Linked DNA regions of Lonchura striata. Each later gene encodes a partner of the first gene's protein in a complex. Links are inferred from orthologs where the notes say so. Each region holds a gene or a part of one and is shown on either strand. Other genes may lie near its edges.

What was found.
Region 2: uncharacterized protein LOC110483994 (region 1) and SNRPG share a complex: the UniProt entries of both Homo sapiens proteins name them as parts of the minor spliceosome. The link is inferred for Lonchura striata from reciprocal best matches to the Homo sapiens genes SRRM2 and SNRPG.
Region 3: uncharacterized protein LOC110483994 (region 1) and SF3B5 share a complex: the UniProt entries of both Homo sapiens proteins name them as parts of the minor spliceosome. The link is inferred for Lonchura striata from reciprocal best matches to the Homo sapiens genes SRRM2 and SF3B5.
Region 4: uncharacterized protein LOC110483994 (region 1) and SNRPE share a complex: the UniProt entries of both Homo sapiens proteins name them as parts of the minor spliceosome. The link is inferred for Lonchura striata from reciprocal best matches to the Homo sapiens genes SRRM2 and SNRPE.

Annotation. Positions count from the first base shown.
Region 1 is NC_134637.1:300,148-307,849, forward strand, and holds the start of uncharacterized protein LOC110483994, read left to right. Parts: upstream 1-4,680; 5' UTR 4,681-4,684; coding exon 4,685-4,932; intron 4,933-7,370; coding exon 7,371-7,466; intron 7,467-7,702. UniProt on the Homo sapiens protein: Required for pre-mRNA splicing as component of the spliceosome. As a component of the minor spliceosome, involved in the splicing of U12-type introns in pre-mRNAs.
Region 2 is NC_134634.1:399,407-406,614, reverse strand, and holds SNRPG (small nuclear ribonucleoprotein G), read left to right. Parts: upstream 1-4,568; 5' UTR 4,569-4,606; coding exon 4,607-4,638; intron 4,639-4,822; coding exon 4,823-4,845; intron 4,846-5,569; coding exon 5,570-5,694; intron 5,695-6,521; coding exon 6,522-6,572; 3' UTR 6,573-6,692; downstream 6,693-7,208. Other genes in the region: protein FAM136A, read left to right, coding at 1,202-1,288, 2,941-3,081, 3,558-3,746. UniProt on the Homo sapiens protein: Plays a role in pre-mRNA splicing as a core component of the spliceosomal U1, U2, U4 and U5 small nuclear ribonucleoproteins (snRNPs), the building blocks of the spliceosome.
Region 3 is NC_134605.1:50,067,379-50,073,286, reverse strand, and holds SF3B5 (splicing factor 3B subunit 5), read right to left. Parts: upstream 987-5,908; 5' UTR 909-986; coding exon 648-908; 3' UTR 501-647; downstream 1-500. UniProt on the Homo sapiens protein: Component of the 17S U2 SnRNP complex of the spliceosome, a large ribonucleoprotein complex that removes introns from transcribed pre-mRNAs.
Region 4 is NC_134632.1:2,737,542-2,744,995, forward strand, and holds SNRPE (small nuclear ribonucleoprotein E), read right to left. Parts: upstream 2,527-7,454; 5' UTR 2,456-2,526; coding exon 2,402-2,455; intron 2,093-2,401; coding exon 2,066-2,092; intron 1,674-2,065; coding exon 1,611-1,673; intron 1,379-1,610; coding exon 1,300-1,378; intron 674-1,299; coding exon 618-673; 3' UTR 503-617; downstream 1-502. Other genes in the region: ZC3H11A (zinc finger CCCH domain-containing protein 11A), read right to left, coding at 5,882-6,146, 7,429-7,454. UniProt on the Homo sapiens protein: Plays a role in pre-mRNA splicing as a core component of the spliceosomal U1, U2, U4 and U5 small nuclear ribonucleoproteins (snRNPs), the building blocks of the spliceosome.

The DNA.
Region 1 (7,702 bases):
TTTGGGTAAAAAATGAGGAAGTTTTGGGTGAAAAATTGGGAAATTCTGGGTGAGGGAGGAAAAAATGGGAATTTGGGGTGAAAAAGGGGGAAATTTGAGGTAAAAAATGGGGAAATTTGAGGTAAAAATGGGGAAATTTAGGGGGAAAATGGGGAAATTTGAGGTAAAAATGGGGAAATTTAGGGGGAAAATGGGGAAATTCTGAGGTGGGGGAGGGAAAAAATGGGAATTTGGGTAAAAAGTGGGAAATTTGAGGCAGGGGAGGTAAAAATGGGATTTTGGGTAGAAAATAGGGAAATTTTGAGGTGAGTGACTTAAACTGGGGATTTTGGGTAAAAAATGAGGAAGTTTTGGGTGAAAAATTGGGAAATTTTGGGTGAGGGAGGAAAAAATGGGAATTTGGGGTGAAAAATGGGGAATTTAAGGGGAAAATGGGGAAATCTAGGGGAGAAATGGAAATGGAATTTGGGGTGAAAAAGGGGGAAAATTTGGGGTGAAAATGGGGAAATTTTGAGGCAAGGGAGGAAAAATGGGAATTTGGGTAAAAAGTGGGAAATTTTGAGGCAAGGGAGGTAAAAATGGGATTTTGGGTAAAAAATATGAAATTTTGAGGCAAGGGAGGTAAAAATGGGAATTTGGGTAAAAAATGAGGAAGTTTTGGGTGAAAAATTGGGAAGTTTTGGGGTGAGGGAGGAAAAAATGGGAATTTGGGGAAAATAAAACAAATTTTGGGCAAAGGGGGAGCTCGGGATGGGGAAATGGGGTTTGGGGGAAAAGTGGAGATTTGGGAGAAAAAAGGGATTAAAAACAATTAAAAATGAGTCGTGAGGGGAAAGCGAAAGTTTAAAAAGGGAAGTGTGAGGGGAAAAAGAAAAGTTTTGGTGAAAAAGGTTTGGGTGAAAAAGGGGAGGTTTTGGTTAAAAAGAAAGTCTTGGGGGAAATTGGGATTTTTTGAGGGGGAAAAAGGCGGAAAATGGGATTTTAGAGGGGGAAAAAATGGGATTTTGGGTGAAAAAAGGGGAAATTTGGGGTGAGGGAAGGAAAATGGGATATTGGATAAAAAAGGGGAAAAATTTGGGGTGAAGGAGGAAAAAATGGGATTTTGGGTGAAAAATGGGGAAAATTTGAGGTGAGGGAGGAAAAATTGGGATTTTTTAGGTAAAAATGGGGAAATTCAGGGTGAAAAATAGGGGAAATTTTGGGTTTGGGGTATAAAAAATGGGATTTTGGGCAAAAAGGGAAAAAAATTGAGGTGAGGGAAGAAAAAATGGAATTTTGGGGGTGAAAAGAGATTTTTTAAGGTCATGAGGGGAAAAAACGGGATTTGGGGTTAAAAATAAGATTTTAGGGGTTCGTGAGGGGAAGGTTGGATTTCGGGGAGTTTTGAGGGGGAAAAGGGAATTTTTGAGGGGAAAATGTTGATTTTTGGGGGATTTTTGAAGGGAAAATGGTGGTTTTTGGGAGGTTTGTGAGGGGAAAAGCGGAATTTGGGGGAAAAAAATGGGATTTTGAGGGGAAAATTGGGATTTTGGGGTAAAAAATGAGGGTTTGAGGAGGGAAAAGCGGATTCGAGCGGAAAGAAGGCGATTTTGGATGAAAAAAAGGATTTTTTGGTAAGTGTGGGGAAATTTGGGGTAAAATAGAGGGGAAAATGGGAATTTTGGGGTATTTCTGCAGGAAAATGGGAATATGAGAAAAAAATGAATTTTTGGTGGAAAATGGATTTTTTTTTTTTGAGGTGTGGGGTTTTGGGGAGTTTTTGAGGATAAAACTGATTTTTTTAGGAGTTTCAGGGTTTGTGAGGGGAAAAATTGGAGTTTTTTGGGGGAAAGTGTTTTTAGTGGGAAAAAACCGATTTTTAAAAAGTTTTTGAGGGGAAAAATGAAGTTTGAGGGAGTTTAGGGTTTTTAGGAGAGCTGAGGAGTAAAAGTTGAAATTTTTTGGGGTTTTAAAGTAAAAATTGGAGTTTGGAGGATTCTGAGGGGACAAATTGTCGTTTTGGGGGAAAAACAGAATTTTGGGGTGTTGGGAGGGGAAAAATGGAGATTTTTAAAGTTTGTGAAGTAAAATTTAATCAGAATTCATTTTATGAGGTGAAACTTTAAAATTTAATTTAAATTTATGAGGTAAAAAAGCGATTTTGAGGAAGAAAAGTGAGATTTCGGGGGAAATTGGGGAATTTTGAGGAGAAGAATGAAGATTTTGGAGTTGTGAGGGAGGAAAAGGATTTGGGGGAAAGACAAAGGTAAAAAAGTGGATTTTTGTGGAGATTTGAGGGGAAAAAAGTAATGTTTAGGGGAATTGTGAGGGAAAAAGTGAATTTTGAGAAAATTCTGAGGCGAAAATTAAGTTTTTTCGGGGTGTTTTGTAAAAAAGTAATTTTATTGGAATTTTGAGGGGAAAAGTGAATTTTGGCGGAGAGTTGTGAGGAGAAAATGGATTTTTTTTGGTGTTTTGTTAAAAAAAAGAGGAATTTTAGGGGAATTCTGAGGAGTTTGGGGAGTGGAAGTGGTCGTAAGTAGGAAAAATTTAATTTTTGTGGGGGGAAAAAACGTTTTTGTGGAAATTGTGAGGGGAAATTTGGGGTTTGGGGCAGTTCTGAGGGGATTTTGGGGAGAAAAAACCATTTTTTAGGGAAGTTGTGAGGGAGAAAAGTGGGATTTTGAGAGAAAAATGGAGTTTTTTTAAAAGTGTGAGGGGGGGAAAAATGAAATTTGAAGGAGCCTTGAGAGGAAAGGGTCAAAAATTCTCATTTTAGGGAAAAAGTTATTTATTTTAGGGCGCTGTGAGGAGAAAAAAGGATTTTGAGTGAAAAAAAAGTTGTTTTGGGAAGGAAAAGTGGATTTTGAGCGGAAAAAAAAAGTGATTTTGGGGGGAAATGGATTATTGGAGTTGGAAAAAAAGTGATTTTGGGAAGGAAAATGAGATTTTAGGGAATTTCCAGAGAAGTTTAGGGAGTTTGTGAAGGAAAATGGGGATTTTGGGTTTAAAATGGGAATTCATGTAGGAAAACAGAATTTTGGGGAGAAAAATAGGATTTTGGGTTTAAAAGTGAGAATTCATGCGGGAAAATGGCAATTTCGGGGAGAAAAGTGGGGATATTGGGTTAAAAATGGGAATTCATGTAGGGAAATGGGAATTTTGGGAGAAAAATTGGATTTTGGATTAAAAGTGGGAATCTTGTAGGAAAATGGGGATTTTGGGAAGAAAAATGGGAATTTTGGGTTAAAAAGTGAGAATTCCTGTAGGAAAATGGGAATTTTGAGGAGAAGATGGGGACTTTTGGGTTAAAAAGTGGGAATTCCTGTAGTAAAATGGGGATTTTGGGGAGAAAAGTGGGGATTTTGGGTTATAAAAGGGTTTTTTTAGGGTGGGAGGGAAGTTTTGGGGTCAGTGAGGGGGGATTTGGGGCAGGGGGAATTTGGGGAATTTGGGGGATTTGGGACTGTAGGAATGGGGGATTTGGGGAATTTGGGGATGCAGGAATGGGGGATTTGGGGCTGTAGGATTTGGGGATTTTGGGGATGTAGGATTTGGGGGATTCAGGGGATTTTGGGGATGTAGGATTTGGGGGATTTTGGAGATTTGGGGTTTTAGGAACTTGGGGATTTTGGGGGTTTGGGACAAAGGGATTTTGGGAATTTGGGTCTATAGGAACGGGGATTTTGGGGATTTGGGTCTATAGGAACGGGGGGATTTTGGGGGTTTGGGGCACAGGGATTTTGGGGATTTGGGGCACAGGGATTTTTGGGATTTGGGTCTATAGGAACTTGGGGATTTTGGGGGTTTGGGACACAGGGATTTTTGGGATTTGGGTCTATAGGAACTTGGGGATTTTGGGATTTGGGACACAGGGATTTTGGGGATTTGGGTCTATAGGAACTGGGGGATTTTGGGGATTTGAGGCACAGGGATTTGGGGGATTTGGGGCACAGGGATTTTGGGGATTTGGGGCACAGGGATTTTTGGGATTTGGGTCTATAGGAACGGGGGGATTTGGGGCACAGGGATTTTGGGGATTTGGGGCACAGGGATTTTTGGGATTTGGGTCTATAGGAACGGGGGGATTTGGGGCACAGGGATTTTGGGGATTTGAGGCACAGGGATTTTGGGGATTTGGGTCTATAGGAACTTGGGGATTTTGGGCACAGGGATTTTGGGGATTTTGGACACAGGGATTTTGGGGATTTGGGTCTATAGGAACTGGGGGATTTTGGGGATTTGAGGCACAGGGATTTGGGGATTTGGGGCACAGGGATTTTGGGGATTTGGGGCACAGGGATTTGGGGGATTTGGGTCTGTAGGAACTTGGGGATTTGGGGGATTTGGGTCTATAAGAACGGGGGGATTTTGGGGATTTTGGACACAGGGATTTTGGGGATTTGGGGCACAGGGATTTTGGGGATTTTGAACACAGGGATTTTGGGGATTTTGAACACAGGAATTTTGGGGATTTTGAACACAGGGTTTGGGGGATCTGGGGGATGTGGGGGGCCCTGACTCCCGCGTTCCCAGCGCTGGGATGTACAATGGGATCGGGCTGTAGGAACGGGGGGATTTTGGGGATTTGGGGCACAGGGATTTTGGGGATTTTGGACACAGGGATTTTGGGGATTTTGGACACAGGGATTTGGGGGATCTGGGGGATGTGGGGGGCCCTGACTCCCGCGTTCCCAGCGCTGGGATGTACAATGGGATCGGGCTGCCGACGCCGCGGGGCAGCGGCACCAACGGCTACGTCCAGCGCAACCTCTCGGCCCTGCGGCCCAAGAAAGGGGGGGCGGGCGGGGACCCCCCCCCCGGCGAGGAGGAGCTGAGGCGCCTGGAGGCCGCCCTGGCCAAGAAACCCAACGCCGACATCCTCGACCACCAGCGCAAGCGGAGGGTGGAGCTGAAATGCCTGGAGCTGGCCGAGCTGATGGAGGAGCAGGGGTGAGCGCCGCGCGCCCCAAAAACACGCCCTGAAATTTCCCAAAATCCCCCGAAATTTCCCCAAAATCCCCCCAGACCCCCTCGGGACCCCTCCCCAAATTCGGGGGTCCCCCCTGGCACCCCAAAATCCCTTTTAATACCCCCAAACCCCCCCAAAATCCCCCTAAAATCTCCTTTAAACCCCCCAAATTCCCCCCGAAATTTCCCAAAATTTCCCGAAATTTCCCCAAAATCCCCCCAGACCCCCTCGGGACCCCTCCCCAAATTTGGGTCCCCCCCTGACACCCCAAATCCCCCCTAAATTCCCCCAAAATCCCTTTTAATCCCCCAAACCCCCCAAAATCCCCCTAAAATCTCCTTTAAACCCCCCAAAATCCCCCGAAAATTTCCCAAAATCCTCCAAAATTTCCCCAAAATCCCCCCAGACCCCCTCGGGACCCCTCCCCAAATTCGGGGGTCCCCCCTGGCACCCCAAAATCCCTTTTAATACCCCCAAACACCCCAAAATCCCCTAAAATCTCCTTTAAACCCCCCAAAATCCCCCTGAAATTTCCCAAAATCCCCCGAAATTTCCCCAAATCCCCCGAAATTTCCCCAAATCCCCCCAGACCCCCTCGGGACCCCTCCCCAAATTCGGGGTCCCCCCCTGACACCCCAAATCCCCCTTTAAACCCCTCAAAATCCCTTTTAATACCCCCAAACCCCCCCAAAATCTCCTTTAAATGCCCCAAAATCCCCCCAAAATTTCCCAAAATCCCCCAAAATTTCCCCAGACCCCCTCGGGACCCCTCCCCAAATTCGGGGGTCCCCCCTGGCACCCCAAAATCCCTTTTAATACCCCCAAACCCCCCCAAAATCCCCTAAAATCTCCTTTAAACCCCCCAAAATCCCCCCAAAATTTCCCGAAATCCCCCAAAATTTCCCTAAACCCCCCAAAATTTCCCCAAATCCCCCCAGACCCCCTCGGGACCCCTCCCCAAATTCGGGGTCCCCCCCGGACACCCCAAATCCCCCTTTAAACCCCTCAAAATCCCTTTTAATGCCCCCAAACCCCCCTAAAATCTCCTTTAAACCCCCCAAAATTTCCCGAAATCCCCCAAAATTTCCCAAAATCCTCCAAAATTTCCCCAAATCCCCCCAGACCCCCTCGGGACCCCTCCCCAAATTTGGGTCCCCCCCTGACACCCCAAATCCCCCCTAAATTCCCCCAAAATCCCTTTTAATCCCCCAAACCCCCCAAAATCCCCCTAAAATCTCCTTTAAACCCCCAAAATCCCCCAAAAATTTCCCAAAATCCTCCAAAATTTCCCCAAAATCCCCCCAGACCCCCTCGGGACCCCTCCCCAAATTCGGGGTCCCCCCTGGCACCCCAAATCCTCCTTTAAACCCCAAAATCCCTTTTAATACCCCAAAATCCCCCTAAAATCTCCTTTAAACCCCCCAAAATCCCCCCAAAATTTCCCGAAATCCCCCAAAATTTCCCAAAATCCTCCAAAATTTCCCCAAATCCCCCCAGACCCTCTCAGGACCCCTCCCCAAATTCGGGGTCCCCCCTGACACCCCAAATCCCCCCTAAATTCCCCCAAAATCCCTTTTAATACCCCAGAATCCCCCTAGAATCTCCTTTAACCCCCGAAATTTCCCAAAATCCCCCGAAATTTCCCCAAAATCCCCCCAGACCCCCTCAGGACCCCTCCCCAAATTCGGGGGTCCCCCTGGCACCCCAAAATCCCTTTTAATACCCCCAAACCCCCCCAAAATCCCCCTAAAATCTCCTTTAAACCCCCAAAATTTCCCAAAATCCCCCCAAAATTTCCCAAAATCCTCCGAAATTTCCCCAAATCCCCCCAGACCCCCTCAGGACCCCTCCCCAAATTCGGGGGTCCCCCCTGACACCCCAAAATCCCTTTTAATACCCCCAAACCCCCCCAAAATCCCCCTAAAATCTCCTTTAAACCCCCCAAAATCCCCCCAAAATTTCCCAAAATCCTCTAAAATTTCCCCAAAATCCCCCCAGACCCCCTCGGGACCCCTCCCCAAATTCGGGGGTCCCCCCTGGCACCCCAAATCCCCCCTAAATTCCCCCAAAATCCCTTTTAATCCCCCAAACCCCCCAAAATCCCCCTAAAATCTCCTTTAAACCCCCCAAAATCCCCCCAAAATTTCCCGAAATCCCCCGAAATTTCCCCAGACCCCCTCGGGACCCCTCCCCAAATTCGGGGGTCCCCCCTGGCACCCCAAATCTCCCTTTAAACCCCCCAAAATCCCTTTCAATACCCCCAACCCCCCCTAAAATCTCCTTTAAACCCCCCAAAATCCCCCTGAAATTTCCCGAAATCCCCCCAAAATTTCCCGAAATCCCCCGAAATTTCCCCAAATCCCCCCAGACCCCCTCGGGACCCCTCCCCAAATTCGGGTCCCCCTTTTCCCCGTTGCAGCTACTCGGCCGAGGAGATCGAGGCCAAGGTGGCCACGTTCCGCACGATGCTGCTGGAGAAGGACGAGGGGCCCGGCGACCCCGAGCAGAAACCCACGTGAGCCCCCTCATTTGCATAATTAGCATAATTAGCTGCATGGCGCCTCGTTAACCGCCGTCCCCGAGGGGGTTTTGGGGGAAAAAAATGGAATTTTGGGGGGAAAAAAGGAGTTTTTTGGGGTGGTTTGAGTGGGAATTGGGGATTTTGGGGTCGTTAGTGGCAAGATAAGTTTGTTAATTAGGTTCATTAGCATAATTAGCGTAATTATATCTCATTAATCAGCTCCCCAGAGA
Region 2 (7,208 bases), on another chromosome or scaffold:
TTCTGGCAATTTTGGTGCGATTCTCAGCAGTTTTGGGACAATTTCTGGCAGTTTTGGGGCAGGTTTGGGACAATTTCAGTTTTGGGGCAGTTCCCCTCAGGTTTGGGGTGGGTTTTTGAACGATTCTCTTCAGTTTTGGGGTGGGTTTTGGGACGGGTTTTGGGGTGGGTTTTGGGGCTGTTCCCCTCAGGTTTTGGGGCGGATCCCCTCAGATTTGGGGCGGATTTTGGGGCGGTTTTCCTCAGGTTTTGGGGCGGTTTTTGAACTATTCTCCTCAGTTTTGGGGCGGGTTTTTGGGGCGGTTCCCCTCAGGTTTGGGGCGGATTTGGGGGCGAGTTTTGGGGCAGATTTTGGGGCGGTTTTCCTCAGGTTTTGGGGCGGTTCCCCTCCTGTTTGGGGCGGGTTTTTGAACGATTCTCCTCAGGTTTGGGGCCGGTTTTGGGGCGGGTTTTTGGGGCTGTTCCCCCCAGATTTGGGGTGGATTTTGGGGCGGTTCCCCTCAGGTTTGGGGCGGGTTTTGGGGCGGTTCCCCTCAGGTTTTGGGGCGGTTTTCCTCAGTTTTGGGGCGGGTTTTTGAACGATTCTCCTCAGGTTTGGGGTGGGTTTTGGGGTGGGTTTTGGGGTGGTTCCTCTTAGGTTTTGGGGCGGATTTTGGGACGATTCTCCTCAGGTTTGGGGCGGATTTTGGGGCAGTTTTCCTCAGGTTTGGGGTGGGTTTTTGGGACGGTTTCCCTCACGTTTGGGGCGGGTTTTTGGGACGATTCTCGTCAGTTTTGGGGCGGGTTTAGGGCGGTTCGGGGCGAGGTTTAGGGCGGGATTAGGGTGGGATTAGGGCGGGTTTAAGGCGGGTTTAGGACGGGTTTAGGGCGGGTTCAGGGCGGGTTTAAGGCGGGTTCAGGGCGGGTTTAAGGCGGGTTCAGGGCGGGTTTAAGGCGGATTTAGGGCGGGTTTAAGGCGGATTTAGGGCGGGTTCAGGGCGGGTTTAGGGCGGGTTTAAGGCGGATTTAGGGCGGGTTCAGGGCGGGTTTAAGGCGGGTTTAAGGCGGATTTAGGGCGGGTTCAGGGCGGGTTTAAGGCGGATTTAAGGCGGGTTCAGGGCGGGTTCAGGGCGGGTTTAAGGTGGGTTTAAGGCGGGTTCAGGGCGGGTTTAAGGTGGGTTTAAGGCGGGTCCAGGGCGGGTTTAAGGCGGGTTCAGGGGGCCATGGCGGAGGCGGCGCAGGGCCGGGTGCAGGCCGCGGTGGAGAGCGCGGTGCAGGGGCTGGAGCGGGAGCAGATCCGCGCCATGCAGGTACCGGGACACCGGGGGACACCGGGGGACACCGGGGGACACCGGGGGACACCGGGGGACACGCCGGGAGGGGTCCGCGCCCGCCCGGGGCTGCGGCGGTACCCCCGACCCCAACACACGTGGGTGCCCCGGGCAGCGCCGGGAGCGGCCCCGAGACCCCCCCCAAACCACTGAGATCCCCCCAAATTCAATACACAGGCTGAGACCCCCCCCCAAATCACTGAGATCCCCCCAAATTCAATACACAGGCTGAGACCCCCCCCAAATCACCGAGATCCCCCCAAATTCAATACACAGGCTGAGACCCCCCCAAATCACTGAGATCCCCCCAAATTCATTACACACCCTGAGACCCCCCCAAACCACTGAGATCCCCCCAAATTCAATACACAGGCTGAGACCCCCCCCCAAATTCAATACACACCCTGAGACCCCCCCCAAATCACTGAGATCCCCCCAAATTCAATACACACCCTGAGATCCCCCCCAAATCACTGAGATCCCCCCAAATTCATTACACACCCTGAGACCCCCCCCCCAAATCACTGAGATCCCCCCAAATTCATTACACACCCTGAGACCCCCCCCAAATCACTGAGATCCCCCCAAATTCAATACACAGGCTGAGACTCCCCCCCAAATCACTGAAATCCCCCCAAATTCAATACATACCCTGAGACCCCCCTCCCAAATCACTGAAATCCCCCCAAATTCATTGTGACCTCCTCCCATACACACCCTGAGACCTCCCCAAATCACTGAGACCCCCCCAAATCACTGAAATCCCCCCAAATTCAATACACAGGCTGAGACCCCCCCCAAATCACTGAGATCCCCCCAAATTCATTGTGACCTCCTCCCATACACACCCTGAGACCCCCCATACACACCCTGAGACCTCCCCCAAATCACTGAAATCCCCCCAAATTAATTGTGACCCCCTCCCATACACACCCTGACACCCCTCAAATCACTGAGACCTCCCCCTCAAATTCCCTGACACCCCCGCAATTCACTGAAACCCCCCCAAATTCATTGTGACCTCCCTATACACCTCCTGAGATCCCCCAAATCACTGTGACCCCCCCAAATTCATTGCGACCCCCTCCCATACACACCCTGACACCCCCTAAACCACTGAGACCCCCCCCCAAATTCCATTCTCTGTGCCCCCCAGTTCATTCCCTGTGCCCCCCCCTGCTCAGGGCACACCCGGCTGGTCCCCCCAAGGGGGCTGGGACCCCCAGACTGACCCCACTGACCCCTTGTGACCCCCCCTTCCCTCCATGGCCCTGGGGGTCACCCTTCTCCACCGTGTCCCCAGTGTCCCCCTCACCTGGGAGTGTCCCCGGAGTGTCCCCAGGGTGCCCCCCATTAACCCCCTGACCCTTGGTGCCCCTGGGGTGTACCCCCTTGTCCCGTGTTTCCCCATTAACCCCTCATGCCCCATGTCCCCAGAGTGTCCTCTGTTTTCCCTGTGTCCCCTGTTTCCCCGTTAACCCCTCATGCCCCGTGTCCCCAGGGTGTCCCCTATTAACTCCTCGTGCCCTGTGTCCCCCGTTAACCCCTCATGCCCCGTGTCCCCAGGGTGTCCCCTATTAATTCCTCGTGCCCTGTGTCCCCCGTTAACCCCTCGTGCCCCGTGTCCCCAGGGCGCCATGTTCCGCTGCAGCGCGCGCTGCTGCGAGGACGCAGCGGCCTCCATGCAGGAGGTGCAGCGCTGCATCGAGCGCTGCCACGCGCCCCTGGCCCGCGCCCAGGCCATCGTCACCGCCGAGCTGGAGCAGTTCCAGGTGAGCGCAGGCACCAGGACCCCTGGGACAGCACCGGGACCCCGCCTGGGACCCCTGGGACAGCACTGGGACCCCGCCTGGGACCCCTGGGACAGCACCGGGACCCACCCTGGGACCCCTGGGACAGCACCGGGACCCTCTGGGACAGCACCGGGACCCCTGGGACCTCTGGGACAGCACCAGGACCCTCTGGGACAGCACCGGGACCCCTGGGACCCCTGAGACAGCGCCAGGACCCACCCTGGAACCCCTGGGGACAGCACCAGGACCCCTGGGACAGCATCAGGATCCTGCCTGGGACCCCTGGGACAGCACTGGGACCCCTGGGGACAGCACTGGAACCCCCTGAGACCCCTGGGGACAGCACTGGGACCCTAGGCAGGACATGAACCCCACCCCAGTCCCTCCCCTGATCCCCCCAATGTGCTCCCAGTCCCCCCATTCTCCCCCAGCCCCGCTGACCCTGCTGCCCCCAGGACCGGCTGAGCCGCTGCTCGCTGCAGTGCTCGGACCAGGCCAAGGACGCGCTGGACGCGGGGGGCTCGGAGCCGCGTGTGCGGGGCCAGCTGGATGCCTGCCTGGCCACCTGCGGGGAGCAGCACCTGCGCCTCGTGCCCGCCATGGCCAGGAAGATGCGGGACGGGCTGGCCAGCATCCAGCAGTGACCGCGGGGGCACCCCGGGGACACCCCGGGGACACCCCGGGACACCCCGCGCTCATTAAAGGCCAGGTGGCAGCTCCACCGACCGCGGGCGTGCTGGGGGACTGGGGGTGATGGGGGAACTGGGGGTGATTGGGTGGCATTGGCAGTGATTGAGGCACAGGGTGATGGGGGGAACTGGGGGTGATTGGGGGACTGGGGGGCACTGCGGGTTATGGGGGGACAGGGGGAACTGGGGGTTATGGGGGAAACTGAGGGTAATGGGGGCATGGGAGGTATGGGGGCACTGGGGGAACAGGGTGATGTGGGGGACTGGGGGTGATTTGGGCAGTGGGGAACGGGGGCACTGAGGAACTGGGGGTGAGGGGGTGGATGTTGAGGAGACACTGCAGGAGATGGGGGCACTGGGGGTGATGGGGGAACTGGGGGGCACTGGGAGCAATGGGGGCTGTGAGGGGGTGACGGGCTGGGTGCTGAGGGAACTCTGCAGATAAGGGGGGGCATTGGGGGGTGATGCTCACACACGGGCACACACACACACGTGTGCACATGTGGACACACACACACGACACACGTGTGCGCTCACACACGTGTGCACACACACACACACTCACACACATGCGCACTCACGCCCCCAGCACGCGCCCCGCCGCGCCGCCCGCATGGCGGCCATGCCGCCGTACCTCCCCGTGTAGCCGCGCACTCCCCTCACCGACCCCTGCATCCCCCCGCTGCCTCGCCCCTGCCGCGCCGCTACTCGGGTGAGTGCGGGAGCGCGCCGCGGGCCGCCATTGGCCGGCGCGGGGAGACGCACGGCGCGCTGACGTCAGAGCGCGGCAGGGACGGCCGGGGGCTGCGGGCGCCATGAGCAAAGCGCACCCGCCCGAGCTGAAAAAGTGCGGCCGGGGACGAGCGGGGCGAGGGCAGCCGGGGCCCGGGCGGGGGGAAGTGGGGGCCGCTGCTGCCCGGTACTCCGGTGCAACGGCGGCGGGGGACGCGCGGTCGCTGTGGGGATAATGGCGGGGGGGCTCCTGCCCCGTCGCCACCCGCCGGCGCTCACCCGCTGCCGTCTCCTTGCAGGTTCATGGACAAGAAGCTGTCGTGTGAGTTCTGGAGCGGATCTCGTCCTGGTCCCCCTCACGGTGCCCGGGGGCCCCATCCCGCCCCGATCCCTCTCACGGTTCCTGGGACCCCCGCCCCAGTCCCGCTCAGGGTGTCCCGGGACTCTCCCCCACCCCGATCCCCTCACGGTGCTCAGGCAGGGACCCCAATGCCGATCCCGTCACGGTGCCCGGAGACCCCCGCCCCGATCCCCATCACGGTGCTTAGGGACCCCCGCCCCCATTCCCATCAGGGTGTCCCAGGACCCCCGCCCCAATCCCCTCACGGTGCCCAGGTAGGGACCCCCATCCCAATCCCTCTCACGGTGCCCTGGGACCCCCGATCCCCTTCACGCCCACCGCTGTTGGGGACCCACCCCCCAACAATGCCCCGTTTTGGGGACCCTCCACAGCCCCGTTTCCCTCTCGTGGCCCCGCTGTGGGAGTCTCCTGAGCCCCCCACCCGGTTTTTGGGGACCCCGCCCACCCCTCACAGAGCCCAGATAAGAGGTCCCGGCTGCTGATTTCCGACCTTAGAGCGCATGAATTAAAATTCTAATTCATTCATTAATAATTCATTAATTAACTAGAACACGGGTTGAAAATTCGCTCTGTTCCCCCTGTCCCATTAACGGGTTGTGCTCAGTCGTTCCCATTCCCCCCGCTGGTTTTGGGGGGTGCACGGCCCCGTTGTGGGGTGCCCGCGCTCAGGCCCCGCTCCCCGCAGTGAAGCTGAACGGCGGGCGGCACGTGCAGGGCATCCTGCGCGGCTTCGACCCCTTCATGAACCTCGTCATCGACGAGTGCGTGGAGATGGCGGCGGGCGGGCAGCAGAACAACATCGGCATGGTGGTGAGGCACTGGGAGCACTGGGAGTGAGAGCACTGGGAGCGGGGTGGTGAGAGCACTGGGAGTGGGGTGGTGAGGGTACTGGTAGTACTGGGAGCAGGGCAGTGAGGGCACTGGGAGCATTGGGAGTCAGGTGGTGAGGGTACTGGGAATACTGGAAGCAGGGTGGTGAGGCACTGGGAGTACTGGGACAGGGTGGTGAGGGCACTGAGAGCACTGGGAGCACTGGGAGCAGGGCAGTGAGGGCACTGGGAGCACTGGGAGTCGGGTGGTGAGGGTACTGGGAATACTGGAAGCAGGGTGGTGAGGCACTGGGAGTACTGGGAGTGGGGTGGTGAGGGCACTGGTAGTACTGGGAGCAGGGCAGTGAGGGCACTGGGAGCACTGGGAGTCGGGTGGTGAGGGTACTGGGAATACTGGAAGCAGGGTGGTGAGGCACTGGGAGTACTGGGACAGGGTGGTGAGGTCACTGGGAGTACTGGGAGTGGGGTGGTGAGGGCACTGGGAGTACTGGGAGGAGGGTGGTGTGTGCGACTGGGCGTACTGGGCATAGGGTGGTGAGGGCACAGGGAACACTGGGGGCACTGGGACAGGGTGGTGAGAGCACTGGGAGTACTGGGAGCAGGGTGGTGAGTGCACCTGGAGCACTGGGAGGTCTTTTCCACTCTCAAGGATTCTGGTATCCTGTGATCCTTGAGGATTTCGGGTTAAAATCAGTCTATTTTGGCTTTTGTGAGGAGGAAATTCCAGCCAAATTTTCTGGGATTTTTGGGAAAACAAACTGGAAGGAAGGAACCCTTAGGTAACAGCTCTCACCTTGCCCCTTCCAGGTGATCCGAGGGAACAGCATCATCATGCTGGAAGCTTTGGAACGAGTATAAACCCCTGGAAAACCCCAAGTCCTCACCCACTGCTTCCGTTCCCTCGTCCAAAATGCCGCCCACGAGTGTACAATTATTTTGATTGTGTTATTAAATCAATTTTGTAATGGTTGACCCAAATCAAGCCTTTGTCGCACCAGTTTTTGGCAGCTCAGCGGTAATTCTGTTCCCGATCCTGGTACAACTTTTATTTATGGAAGTGGGTGTTCAATTTATACTATTTCTGGTGGTTTTTTTACTTAAAACACACTTGGGTTATTAAATTCTTTATTAACTTCGTACCTGAACACGGCCGTGGATGTTGGTGGTTCTCCCTCTTTCCCACTTATTTTCCCCCAGTTCCCACCCTGAGGAATAATTCCTTGGCAGAGCCTTGGGAAAAGTTGGGGCAGAGGGATGGACAGCCAGGGAGTCAATATTCCCAGCTGGAGGGCACTTTGGGGGTCAATATGGCACTTTTAATGAATTCCCTACCTCAGACAGGGCTAAATCAAGGAAAACTGAGGAAAACTCATGGATTTGTGTGAGGAAAACGTCCCAGCTTACTTGGGAACTCTTCACTGCTCCTGCTCCCTCTAGAGCTGGCCAAACAGCTTCCAGGTGGCACCAGGGGACATCAGGATGAGATATTGGGAA
Region 3 (5,908 bases), on another chromosome or scaffold:
TGAGTAACCATTATATTCGTATTCCATATTAACAGAGCCCAACCCAATACTAGTATCTTTATTTGATGTAAGGTAGGAAAAACTTGAATGCTAGGTTACTAGAAAGCATAAAGGGAAAAAATAGCTAATGTGTATCAGAAAGAATCAAGGTTTGAAAAATTCAGAGGTACAGGAAAAAGGAAAATGAGGCAAGAAAATTGTTTAAAGAAAAGCCATTTTGGAATTTTTAAGTACTAGAGGAACTGGCTTATGCTACACCAAAAACCACTCCATATAATACTGCTACCAAGACATCAAACCCTTTGAGTACCAACAAAGTTCCCCTCTCTCCCCCCAAAACTGAGTTTTGTAAGGAAGCATCGATCCGCCCGGTGGGAGAAATGCTGTCTAGGAGTATCCGATGCTTTCACCTCGGATGGTTGCGCTGAAATGCCCAATACCGAGCACCAGCGCTCCCGCGGGAACAAAAAGCTCGTACAAGGAAACTACCAAACCAAACATTAGGAATGCCCACGAAGCTTTATTATATTCCACTTGAAAAAAGGCGAGCAGTCAAGAGTCCCGAGGCAGGCATTTTGCGAGGCTTCTTCCCGGTCAGTCCTTCGGGAACCACAACGGGAGAGGGCCGGGACCAGGAGGACGGAGGGTCAGGACTCGTCGGGCTTGTCGGCGGGCGGCCCGCAGGGCTGCAGCATCTTCTCCATCAGGTTGAAGCGGACGCGCGCCTTGCTCTCGTTCTCGGCGATGGCGAAGTAGTTGAGCAGGTCGAAGTGGCCCATGTAGGAGCAGTACGAGTCGCGGTGCTGGTTCACCAGCCACTCCCACTTGGTGGTGTCGGCGTGCCCCGTGCCGATGTACTTGGACTGCAGGTGCTCCAGCTGGCTGTGGATGGTGTAGCGGTCCGTCATGGCGCGGCGGGCGGGCGGCCGGAGCGCGGGACGGCGGAGCGCGGGACGGCGGGCGGCGGGATGGCGGAGCGCGGGACGGCGGAGCGCGGGACGGCGGGCGGCGGGACGGCGGGCGGCGGGATGGCGGGCGGCGGGGACCGGCCTGGGCGGCGGGGCCGGGTCTGGGCGGCACGAACGGGCCTGTACAGCGGGATTGCTCTGGGGGCCGGGACGCTTTCCGGCGGGCGCGGCAGCGCTTCCCGCCGCGGTTCCTGCCGCAGTGCCCGAAGGGAGCGCGCCGGGAAGAGCCTGCCGGGAGCTGTAGTCTCCTGGGGGGCGGGCCTCGGCGTAAGTTAATATTGATGTCGTAGTGAAAATAGCGTACTGTCGGTCGGATCGCGCCACTTGGCTAATCCATAGTAAGGCAAATGTAGTTAGAAGGCTGAGCCGCCATCTGTAACGCAGGGTTATTCTAAAGCACGTACGTGAGGGTTCAGGCGCCTCAGACTGAGGCAGATGCTCAGCTGAGCCTCGATGCAAAGCCTGGAGCCTCCCGTCAGTTTGCAAAGCAAAGATACGGCTTTGATAGTGATCCATTCACCTGGAATCCAAGGGACCTGCACTGTCAAATCTGGCTACGAAATACCCACGTCGTGGAACACGGGAACAGCATCGAAAAGTCTCTCCTGGCAGCAGGTGTCAGAAACAGGAAAGCAGAGCCCGGGGCTCACGCTTCGGGGCACAGCTTCATCCCATCCCGACGCTGCCTCTGTATGAACCGCGGCTCAGGGCTGCTTCCCAAAGAAGCGACATGGAGAAAGAAAAAGCTACCACCAAACAACCCAGGAGGTGCCAAGAGCAGCCCAACACCCCTTTTCGTTAGCCCTTAGCTTGGTGAGAGGGCAATGCACCACTTGCTATGGTCACTCTCACCCAAGTCCACATAGAGAAGGGCTGAGGAGGGCACAGTATTTGCAGGTCCTCCCAAAATAAGAAGTTTGGTGAGGTTACTTCTGCTACATACAGCTGAGGAAAGTTCTGTATGTCCCATCCCTGTTCCTTTGTAAGTTGAAGAGCTGAGTTTATCTTCCCCAGATGGGCTGAGCAGAGTCAGGTGATTTAAGTCAAAATTAAATACTAATGTTGAAAAATATTTTTTACAGTGTGGCTAGTATTTTATCTGAATGTTAAACTCACAAGCAGATATAAAACCCACAGAAAATATAACTTGTGTTGCCTATCTTCTTTTGGTCAAACTCAAGCTTGAAATAAATATTATCATCCATCAAAATAGTTTTTTCCACCTCTGTTCGAGAGTTTACATAATGTTAAGTTTAAAATGTGTGAAATTATTCATGCTTTCATATGCTAGTAATGTTTTTAATTATTTGTTTTAAAATAGGAAAGACACATTGCCAAAAATTTTTCAATAGGACTGAGCTATTTCTTCCTGTTCTTGTAAATGCCCTGTAGTCAAAAAGAAATCCACAGAAATATTATGTGAAAACACAGATGATTCTATGCCCCTTGTTTAAAAGTGAGTGTCTTATAAAACCAGGGCCATATAAGGCAATGTAAAAACAACGTTCTGAAGTGTCCTTACAATTCTGTGCAAAGAGCTAAGTGAGGACTATAATTTTTTTTTTTTTGTTATTTTTATGAGGATCTGTTGAGTCATTGCTACCAAGGCTTACTTAGCTGGAAGCAGATTGCACAGCTGGATATAGCAGTTGCATTCTGTGGTTGCTTTCAGAGAGACCAGGAGAGGAAAAAGAAACAAACACAACACTTTAGGAGTTTCTATGTATGCTGGCTTGCAGAAAGACAAAAAAGGACATATTCTCAACAAGGAAGAGCTTTCATTTCTTTTTTAAATGATGTTTTTTTAAAAAGTGGGATAGCAAGAAGAATGCTAGCTTTTAATAGATGTTCCATGCCAACACAGTGACACACGGGGCTGCCCTCACAGCTGTTTGGAAGTTATCCTCTTGGAAACTATAAACCAGGAGATGTATTGATTAAAATAGCCTTTGGAGAAGAAAAATTCCCAGAAGCTTATCTATCTCTTGTCGATGTTGCAGTTTCTAGGAGTAATAACTGCATTAAATTAAACAGGTGTAATAGTTCTCATGAAAGAAAAACAAAAACAAATGAAAACCAAAACCAAAATAAACCACAACAAATCCCCAGCCAACCAAAGCAATGAAACAACAACAATAAAAACCCAACCAACCAAAAACAAAAAAAAAAAAAAAAAAAAAACACAAAAAAAAAAAAAAACAAAAAAAACCACCAAACTTGACTGAGAAGTGTGAATCTGAAATTTTCAGCAAGTTTGTTACTGGGCCAGATTAAAATGCTGCATTCAGGCATCCAGAACTCTGGGAAAGCACACCAAAACTTCACTCTATATTGGCTTTGGTCAAGAACTTCTGAGACTGCCAGACGAGCTTACCAATTTAAGGAAGAAAAAACAGGTAGTAAAATTTCCAGCTGACAGGCAAACCACAATTATCTACAAGTAACTACTTAACTTCAATTTTAATCTAAAAAGAAAAAGTTCCATCTGCTATCTTTCAAGAATTATATTCAATTATATTCTCTTTCTCTTCATTTCTTATTCTTTATAAAAATAAAATCTATTGTAGGGCCTTCTTTTTCTTGTTTGGTCCATTTTGTACAAAATGAATGCCTATGCTAGGGCACTTTCATTTCAAGTTTAGGAATATAAATGAGTGGGGGAAAGGAGATGCATATATATAGGGAGAGGATTATTCCTCAGTGGTAATACGCTTGTATGACTAGGATTCCTGAAAAAGCAGCATTTTCAGATATGTTGAGGGTTTTGTACTGAATACCATTAAATATCATTATCAGAATATACAATAATGGATGCTTACTTATGGAAATCACATAAATGTGCTGATTTTAGTGCTGAAATTATCTGTTTGGAGAGTAACACCGTATCCCTTCAAGCCAGGTTTCAATAGATTGAGACCCTGGGAGGCTGTAAGAGCTGGAACAGTAGAGGCCACTGGGTGTCAGAGTTGGACTTGTCAAAATTCTTCTTCCATAAAACGGAGTGATTGGTTGCACCTCCGAAATGTAGAGTAAAAAGGGTAGAGGGGGCTGCTGGACCAAGAAAGACATTGTCAGTGGCTGCCCAGTACAAGATACAACCAAATTTTTGAATTCCCTACGGACTCTTTGGGTGGAAGTGTGGAGACATAAATACCCTGCAAACAAGGGGATGTGACGATCCTAATAGATAAAACCAATACACATCCAGAAAGATGATAAAATGGGGAGGTATGCCTTTTTTTTTCTCCCAGAAATTCCTCTATTCTTCACTATATTGATTTATCCTACAAATACAGTGATGAAAAAAAAATTGAGATTGCATTAGCCTAGAAAGAATGGTGCTGGAATTTCAATAATGATAAGAACCCATTGTGTATGTGGCATGTGATTTTTTAAAAGTATATATTTCATTAAAAATATTTGCTTCTGCTAAAACAGGGTTCTTAGATCATTATTTGCAGAGGCCACTTAGCAGTTTTAGGCTGGAAAAGCTATGTTTTTCTAATTGCATATTTGGGGTTTTTTTTTCAGATTTCTGATTCTATCACATGAACTGTGATATAGTTTCTCAAATGTTATTATAGCCTATGAACATTATCAGCCTCAGAAAGCCCTTATTTTGGCCCTTTAAGAGGTGGAAGACAATTTTGCTGCTTTTCTCAAAGATCCTGTGAAAAACATTTTTCACAATCAAGCCTCTTCTTCCACCTTGTTTGATGTAAACTCCCCTGATTTCTTTCTTTTCCTTGTAGTCAGAATCATGATTTTGCTGCCATCTCATAGCAGCCTTTGGGCTGCTTCTGGGACAGAGGAAACACAGTCCTTGCAAGCATGGTTAAGTTTCAAACTTTCTTTCACTTTAAAACTATGTTTTGCTTTGTTCTTGCTTTCATTTATAGAGTATAAATATTCCAAAATCTCAAAGCTGTTTTAGGGTTGTATGGCTGATTCTCTGCCAAAGCTATAGATTGGAAGAATGTGGAGTAAAAAAAATCAGGAAAGAAGAAATACTGTGTGTCCTACCACTAAGGGATACACTTTATGCTGCTCTGTATTAATGTAAAGATAATCACATTATCTTGAATCAGACTGAATCTGGAGAAATTCACTCCTGAAGAATTGTCATACTGAGGAGATCTATGACCTGCACTAACAGTGTCTTACCTAGGAGCAGCTTAAGGATCACAGAGACTGGGCCTTGGAGCTTCACACTCCATCAGTTCCTTCTGAGTACCACTGTGATGCTCTACACCTCCTGTATGGGGCTGAATAACAGCTGTGTGCCTTAGGTGCACAGGACAATTGAATTAGCTTAATTTAGGTGCCACTGAGAACTTCCTAGCCAGGCACAGGAGCACCCTAAAAGCAGAAAGGCAGTAGGGATCACTAGCACAGTGCTTACAGATGAGACACTGAAATAATGTGGTGATCTGATGAATGTGGTGTGGAGGGAGATGGAGCACAGCAGAGGCCTGGTAGAGGCAGCTCTCACTTTCTGCTTAGGGGAAGTTCTTTATTCCAAAGCTATAACATAGAAAATAAAAGCCTGTCCAGTGATGTGATTAGTTACCTATTCAGGCTAAAAACAGCGCCAGTAATAGTCTGCCAGGTGAATTTAAATTCTGTCCATATATGTTTTTGTAATGCGAAAGGTTTGTCATGCATTTGGAAATCGAAGTAATAAGAATAAACACAACAAAACTGGGGAAGAAATACTACAGAACTCTCCAAGAAGCAATTGTATTCTGCCCATTTTCTTTGCATTTCTTTTCTTCATTCACTCCAGATAAAGTGCTACAGCTAATACAGTTCTTAATTGTGTTCAATAAGGTATAGAAAAGTAGCAGTGATGAAAGGTACATCTTTAAGTAGGCCAATGTTTTGAATATTAGAAATGTACACAAATTTAAATTAAAAGAAATTAATTTGGCCATTGAGTG
Region 4 (7,454 bases), on another chromosome or scaffold:
TTTGGGAAAAAGGGATTTGTTTAGGGGTAGAAAGATTGGTTTGGGGAAAAAAAAAAGATTCTTATTGGGATAAAGGGGTTCATTTTTGGAGAAAAGGAATTGTTTGGGAAAAGGATTTTTTTGGGATTAAGAAATTGGTTTTGGGAATAAAAAAAGGATTTTTTGTGAATAAGGGACTTTTTGTGGGGAAGAAAGGCCTGGTTTAAGGAAAAAGGGATTTGGTTTGGGAAGAAGGAATTGGATATGGGATATCCAATCCATATCCAATTGGATATGGGATTGGTTATGGGATAACGGGATTTTTTTTTAAAAGGGATTTGTTTTGGGAAATGAAGGATTATTTTTGGGAAGAAGGGATTGGTTTGGGGAAGATGGGATTGGTTTTGGGATAAAGGGTTTGGTTTGGGAAAACTCGAACCCCCATTATCCTGAACCCCCCAGATCCAATCCCACAGGGGGAAAACCCTTGGAAAACATTTCTCCCTGAAACCCCGATCCCAGATTTTGTGAAAAAACAACCCCGTTTTATTGCCCAAAGTACAAAATCCGATTCCCCCGGGAGCTCGGGGGGTTCCCAGCGATCCCAATCCCGCTGGGGGGCCGGGAGCAGCCCGATCCTAACTGGAGACGCTCTGCAGGAGGGTGATGTTGTCCCCCTTCAGCATGATCCGACCTGCAACCAACGGCTCGGGATGGGCCTGTGGGGTGGGAGCGCCCCGATCCCGCCCGGCCCCGCAGCTGGAGCCCAATCCCACAGCTGGATCCCATCCCAATCCCACAGTTGGATCCCAATCCCACAGCTGGATCCCAATCCCACAGCTGGATCCCAATCCCACAGCTGGAGCCCATCCCAATCCCACAGCTGGATCCCAATCCCACAGTTGGATCCCAATCCCACAGCTGGATCCCAATCCCACAGCTGGAGCCCATCCCCACAGCTGGATCCCATCCCAATCCCACAGTTGGATCCCAATCCCACAGCTGGATCCCAATCCCACAGCTGGATCCCAATCCCACAGCTGGATCCCATCCCAATCCCACAGCTGGAGCCCGGCCCCACAGCTGGAGCCCATCCCAATCCCACAGCTGGAGCCCAATCCCACAGCTGGAGCCCAATCCCACAGCTGGATCCCATCCCAATCCCACAGCTGGATCCCAATCCCAAAACCTGGATCCCTGTCCCAAAACCAGGATTTAAGGTCACACATCCAGGTTCCAGGACCCACCCCCGGAGTTTTGGGTCCCAGTCCCGATTTGGGGTCCCAGACCCTGATTTGGGGTTCTCTCCCCCTGCCCTACCCAGCTGCTTCCTGGCCTTGGTTTTGGAGTGAATCTCCTCAGCATCGTCCAGCACCAGGTTCATGTACTCGTCAAAGCCCTGCTGAGCAGCACCGGCCTCAGAAACCCCAAAAGACCCCAAAAACCCATACAAAACCCCCCAAAAAAACCCAAAAACCCACACAAAACCACCCCCCCAAAAAGCCCTCAAATCCCCTCAAAAAACACCCAAAAAAAACCCAACCTCCTCATAAAACTAATAACAAACTCTCAAAACCCCAAAAAACCCCCAAACCCCCCCAAAAAACCCCAAAGCAGAATGGGGCACTCACGATGATGCAGCCCTCAATCCTCATGTTCACCTGCTCATAGAGCCACACCTGGATCCGGGACCGCTGCAGAACGGGAACAGGATTTGGGGTCCAAATGGGATTTGGGGTCAGCAGGGCCCCAAAGGGGTTTGGGGTCCAGGGTTTGTCCCCACCCCAAATCTGTCTGCGGTCACCCCTGTGTGGGGTGGGACTGTCTGGCGTGTGAGGGGTTTGGGGGAATGGGGTTAAACGGGGTTTGGGGGTATGAAATGGGATTTTGGGGTAATAAAATGGGATTTTTGGGTGGGGTTTGGGGTTATAAAATGGGGGTTTTGGGGTATAAAACAGGTTTTTTTGGCATTATAAAATGGGGGTTCTGGGGTATAAGATGGGGATTTTTGGGGTTAAATGGGTTTTATGGGGTTAAAATGGGGAGATTTGAGGTCCCTCCCCCCCAGCCCGCTGCCGGCACTCACGTTCTGCAGGTAGCGGAAGATCAGGTTCTGGGGCCGGGGTTAAGGGCACAGCAGAGCCGGGGGCACGGGGGAAACGCTGAGGGGAACCCCTGAAGGGAACCCGCGGTGGAACCCATAGTGGAACCCGCCATTCCCTTCCCTTCTTCCCTTCCCTTCCTTCCTTCCCTCCATTCCCTTCCCTACTTCCCACCCGTCCCCATCCATCCCTTCCCTTCCCTTCCCTTCCCTTCCCTTCCCTTCCCTTCCCTTCCCTTCCCTTCCCTTCCCTTCCCTTCCCTTCCCTTCCCTTCCCTTCCCTTCCCTTCCCTCCCTCCCCGAGCGCTGCGGGCAGGATACGATGGGCTGCACCATCACCTTCTGCACCTTCTGGCCCTGCCCGCGGTACGCCATGGCTGCGCGGGGCCGCGGCGCTGTGAGGGCCAGGGGAGGCGGGCACGGGCGGTAATGGCGGCCGGAAGCGGGGCCGTGAGGGGCGGGGAAAGCGGGCACGGGCGGTAATGGCGGCCGGAAGCGGCGCCGTGAGGGGCGGGGAAGGCGGGCACGGGCGGTAATGGCGGCCCGAGCGGGGCACTGTGGGACACTGGCGCCGTGAGGGGCGGGCAAGGCGGGCACGGCGGTAATGGCGGCCGGGAAGGGGGCACTGTGGGACACTGGCGCCGTGAGGGGCGGGGAAGGCGGGCACGGGCGGTAATGGCGGCCGGGAAGGGGGCACTGTGGGACACTGGCGCCGTGAGGGGCGGGCAAGGCGGGCACGGGCGGTAATGGCGGCCGGGAAGGGGGCACTGTGGGACACTGGCGCCGTGAGGGGCGGGGAAGGCGGGCACGGGCGGTAATGGCGGCCCGAGCGGGGCACTGTGGGACACTGGCGCCGTGAGGGGCGGGCAAGGCGGGCACGGCGGTAATGGCGGCCGGAAGCGGCGCCGTGAGGGGCGGAGCGCGCAGGGCATTGTGGGATACTGGCGGCGTGAGGCCCTCAGGAGATTTTTACTTTATTTGTTTTTTTTCCCTATCATTATTTTTAGGATTTTTTCTCTCTTTGTAGGATTTTTTTGTGGGTTCTTTTTTTTTCTCTCAGTAGGGTATATTTTTTTTTTTGAGTGTGTTTTTTTAAATTTTTTTTTCTCTTAGTAGTTTTTTTTCGGGGTTTTTTTGCTCTTAGTAGGATTTTTTTCTCTTAATAGGTTTTTGCTTTTTTTCTCGTAGTAGAGTTTTTCTGGGTTTTTTCCTCTTAGGTTTTTTGGGGTTTCTTTTTGTTTATTTTTTGCTCTTAGTAGGGTCCTTTTTTTTTTCTCTTAGCAGGTTTTTTTAATTTTTTTTACGTTTTTTTTCTCTTAGTAGGTTGTTTTTGTGGGTTTTTTTGCTCTTAGTACGATTTTTTTGTTCTTTTTTTAGTAATTTTTGCTCTTAGTAGTTTTTCTTTCTCTTTGTAGATTTTTGGTTTCTTTTAGTAAAGTTTTTTTTTTGTTTTTTTTTTGTTTGTTTTTTTTTCCTCTTAGTAGGTTTTTTGGGGTTTCTTTTTTATTTTTTGCTCTTAGTAGGGTCTTTTATTTTTCTCTTAGTAAGATGGGGTTTTTTTGTTTATTTTTTTTGCTCTTACTAGGTTTTTTTCGGGTTTTTTTTGTGGGTTTTTTTGCTCTTTGTAGGATTTTTTTTTATTCTTTTTTTGGTTATTTTTGCTCTTAGTTTTTTTTTCCTCTTAGTAGGTTTTTTTCTCTTAGTATGTGGGGGGAGTTTTTTGGGTTTTTTTTTAAGGAATGAGATACTCGCTTCGAGGAACACCAAAATCTTCCAAAAAAAAGGAATTTATGGGTTTCTTATCAGAAAAAGCGAATTTCTTGTTTAATTAATCAAAAAATTAATCAAAAAAATCTGCTTTTTATTGTCTTCTAATTGTCCTAACTCTACACTTTATTACTCTAATTGTGTTATTAGTTTTATAACCGATTTATTATTAAAATTTAAAAATTTAAAAACTAAGTGTTGGGCATTTTTCACACTATTATTTAATTTGGTTTGAATAACCACAATTCATCTATAAATAAAACATTTGTTAGCAATGTTCCCCTGGCTTAGAGCTACAGCAGAGCTGCGCCCTTAAATACACAAAATTTTAAAATAAAGTAATTTTTGTGCTCTTACAGTGCTCGAGTTTTCCTGTTCATTTATCCCACAAAGTCACAAAAAAAAAGCAAAAAAAATTCCCTGAAATCTCTCCCATGTTCCTGTGGAAGATCCCAAATTCCCCTTGAGCCTCCTTTTCTCCAGGCTGAGCCCCTTTCATTAATTTTCCAATAAATTTCATTAATTTTTCATTAATTTTTCCATTAATTTCCAATAAATTTCATTATTTTTCCAATAAATTCCATTAATTTTTCCATTAATTTCATTAATTTCCAATAAATTTCATCAGTTTTCCATCAATTTAATCAATTTTACATCAATTTCATTATTTTCCAATAAATTTCATTATTTTCATTAATTTCCAATTAATGTCATTGTTTTCCAATTAATGTCATTAATTTTCCATTAATTTCATTAATTTTCAATTAATTTCATTAATTTCCCAATAAATTTCATTAATTTCAAATAAATTTCATTAATTTCCCAATACATTCCATTAATTTCCTAATAAATTCCATTAATTTTCCAATACATTTCATTAATTTCCCAATAAATTCCATTAATTTACCAATAAATTTCTTTTTTTTCATTAATTTTTCTTTAATTTCATTTTTCATTAATTTCATTAATTTCCAATATATTTCATTAATTTTCCAATAAATTCCATTTATTTTCCAATAAATTTCATTAAATTTCCAATAAATTACATTATTTTTTAATTAATTTCATTATTCTTCATTAATTTCATTATTTTTTCATTAATTTCTAATTAATTTCTAATTAATTCCAGCATTCCCACCAAACTTGTTGGATACCATTCCTTAAATCAAAGCACAAAACTCTGCAAGGACACCACAGTTGAGCAGCCTACCTTTAATCCCTTAAATAGAATCATACAAATATAAAATGGAAGAATAAAATATTTACAGGACCAAAAAAAAAAAAAACCAACTAAAATCAAAATAAACAAAAATGAAAAATAAAAATAAATCCACGGGGATTCCTCTCAATCCCATCTCCAAAATAGGTTGGAAAAGAGGGAAGCAGCCAAGGGGGGAATATTCCAGGTGGTTTTTTTGGGTTTTTTTTTGTTTTTTTTCCCCTCCCACAACGATCCCAGCTGGATGTGGGAGGTTCATTACAGGGAAAAATCCTCAAAATCCAGAGGCACTTGAAGCAATGCTCCTTTTCCCAAATTCCAGGAGGAATTTTGATTTTTCCACCATCCCAAAATTCCAAGAAAAATCCCCCTTGGATCGTTCGGAGCCAGGCTCACCCTGGCAGGGTTTGGTCCAAAATTCCTCCCGGTGTTTTTCCACCCCCGAATTCCCCCCAATTCCGAGTCCACCGTGGATTCCAGAGTTGACACAGTAACTCCAGGGATTTTTTTGGGGTTTTTCTGTCCAGGAGGGAGCTCTGCCATGGGATCTGTGTTGTCCCTCCAGGGAATTCCAAGTGCTCCGTCCCACGTGGGACAAACCCAACCAGGAATTTTGGGATAACTGAGAGCAGACTCTGCCTATTCCCACCAATCCAGCTGGGAAAGCATCTCCTGCACGGATCCAACAGCATTTCCAGCATTTCTTCGGGGTGCCAGGAGGAAATTTTGCTTTTTTAGGGGATTTTTTTTTTTTTGGCGTCGCATCTTTTTCCCCCCCCCCCTTTTTTTTTTTTTCCAATAAAAATCCTTCACTTTCAGCTGTCGATCATCTCGGAGAGTTCCAGCAGGAGATCATCCTCATCCTTGCCTGGATCCAGGTCGATTTCTGCCTCCAGTTTTCCCCCGGAGATTTCCCAGATGAGTTTCTCGAAGTCGTCCTCCACCGAGAGCGCGGCTTTGGCGCCGCCGGCTGAGCTCAGGCGCCGCAGCTTCAGCGGCGCCTCCAGGGATGAGGAGCAGGAGGAGGATCCCGACACCTCTGCCTGGGCCAGGGAATGCCCCTGGCTGCCAGGCTGGGGGCTGGCAGAGCAGGGAGAAGGGAGAAGTCAGCGCAGGAGGGACCCGAGGTGGAGTTTGGGGTTTTACAAAGGGGGTTAGGGAGGGTGGGAGGGGCTGGGATTGGGTTTGGGGGAGCTGGGATTGGGTTTGGGGGAGCTGGGATTGGGTTTGGGGGAGCTGGGATTGGGTTTTTGGGAACTGGGAATGGGTTTGGGGGGGCTGGGATTGGGTTTGGGGCAGCTGGGATTGGGTTTGGGGGAGCTGGGATTGGGTTTGGGGGAGCTGGGATTGGGTTTGGGGGAGCTGGGATTGGGTTTGGGGCAGCTGGGATTGGGTTTGGGGCAGCTGGGATTGGGTTTGGGGGAGCTGGGATTGGGTTTGGGGGAACTGGGATTGGGTTTGGGGCAGCTGGGATTGGGTTTGGGGCAGCTGGGATTGGGTTTGGGGGAGCTGGGATTGGGTTTGGGGGAACTGGGATTGGGTTTTTGGGAACTGGGAATGGGTTTGGGGGGGCTGGGATTGGGTTTGGGGGAGCTGGGATTGGGTTTGGGGGAGCTGGGATTGGGTTTGGGGGAGCTGGGATTGGGTTTGGGGGGGCTAGATCAGATTTGGAGAGTTCAGGATCAGATTGGGGAGTCCTGGATTGGGTTTGGGGGATGGGATTGGGTTTGGGGGGCTAGCAGAGCAGGGAAAAGGAAGTAAGTGCAGGAGGGACCCGAGGTGAAGTTTGGGGTTCTACATGGGGGGTTAGGGGAGGGTGGCAGGGGCTGGGATTGGGTTTGGGGCAGCTGGGATTGAGTTTGGGGGGACTGGGACTGGGTTTGCGGGAGCTAGATCAGATTTGGGGAGTCCAGGATCAGGTTTGGGGAGTCCTGGATCAGGTTTGGGGAGTCCTGGATCAGGTTTGGGGAGTCCTGATTGGGTCTGGGGGGGTCTAGATCAGATTTGGTGAGTTCAGGATCAATTTTGTAAATCCAGGATCAATTCTGGGGAGTCCAGGATTGGTTTTGGGGGATGGGATTAATTTTGGCAGTCCAGGATTGGTTTTGGACATTCCTGGATCAATTCTGGGCATTCCTGGATCAATTTTGGGGATTCCTGATCAATTCTGGGCATTCCTAGCTCAGTTTTGAGGATTCTGGATCAATTTTGGGGATTTTTGGATCGATTTTGGGGAGTGCCCCAGTGCAGCACCTGCAGGAACCCAGAGCTGCAGCTTTAATTGCAATTAACAGCTCCTCTGCAGGATTTTGGGATCATTCCCACCCTGCCCACCCCAGAAGGAATTTGGGGTCGGGGTTACCTGATCTGGGAATTCTCCCTCCGAGG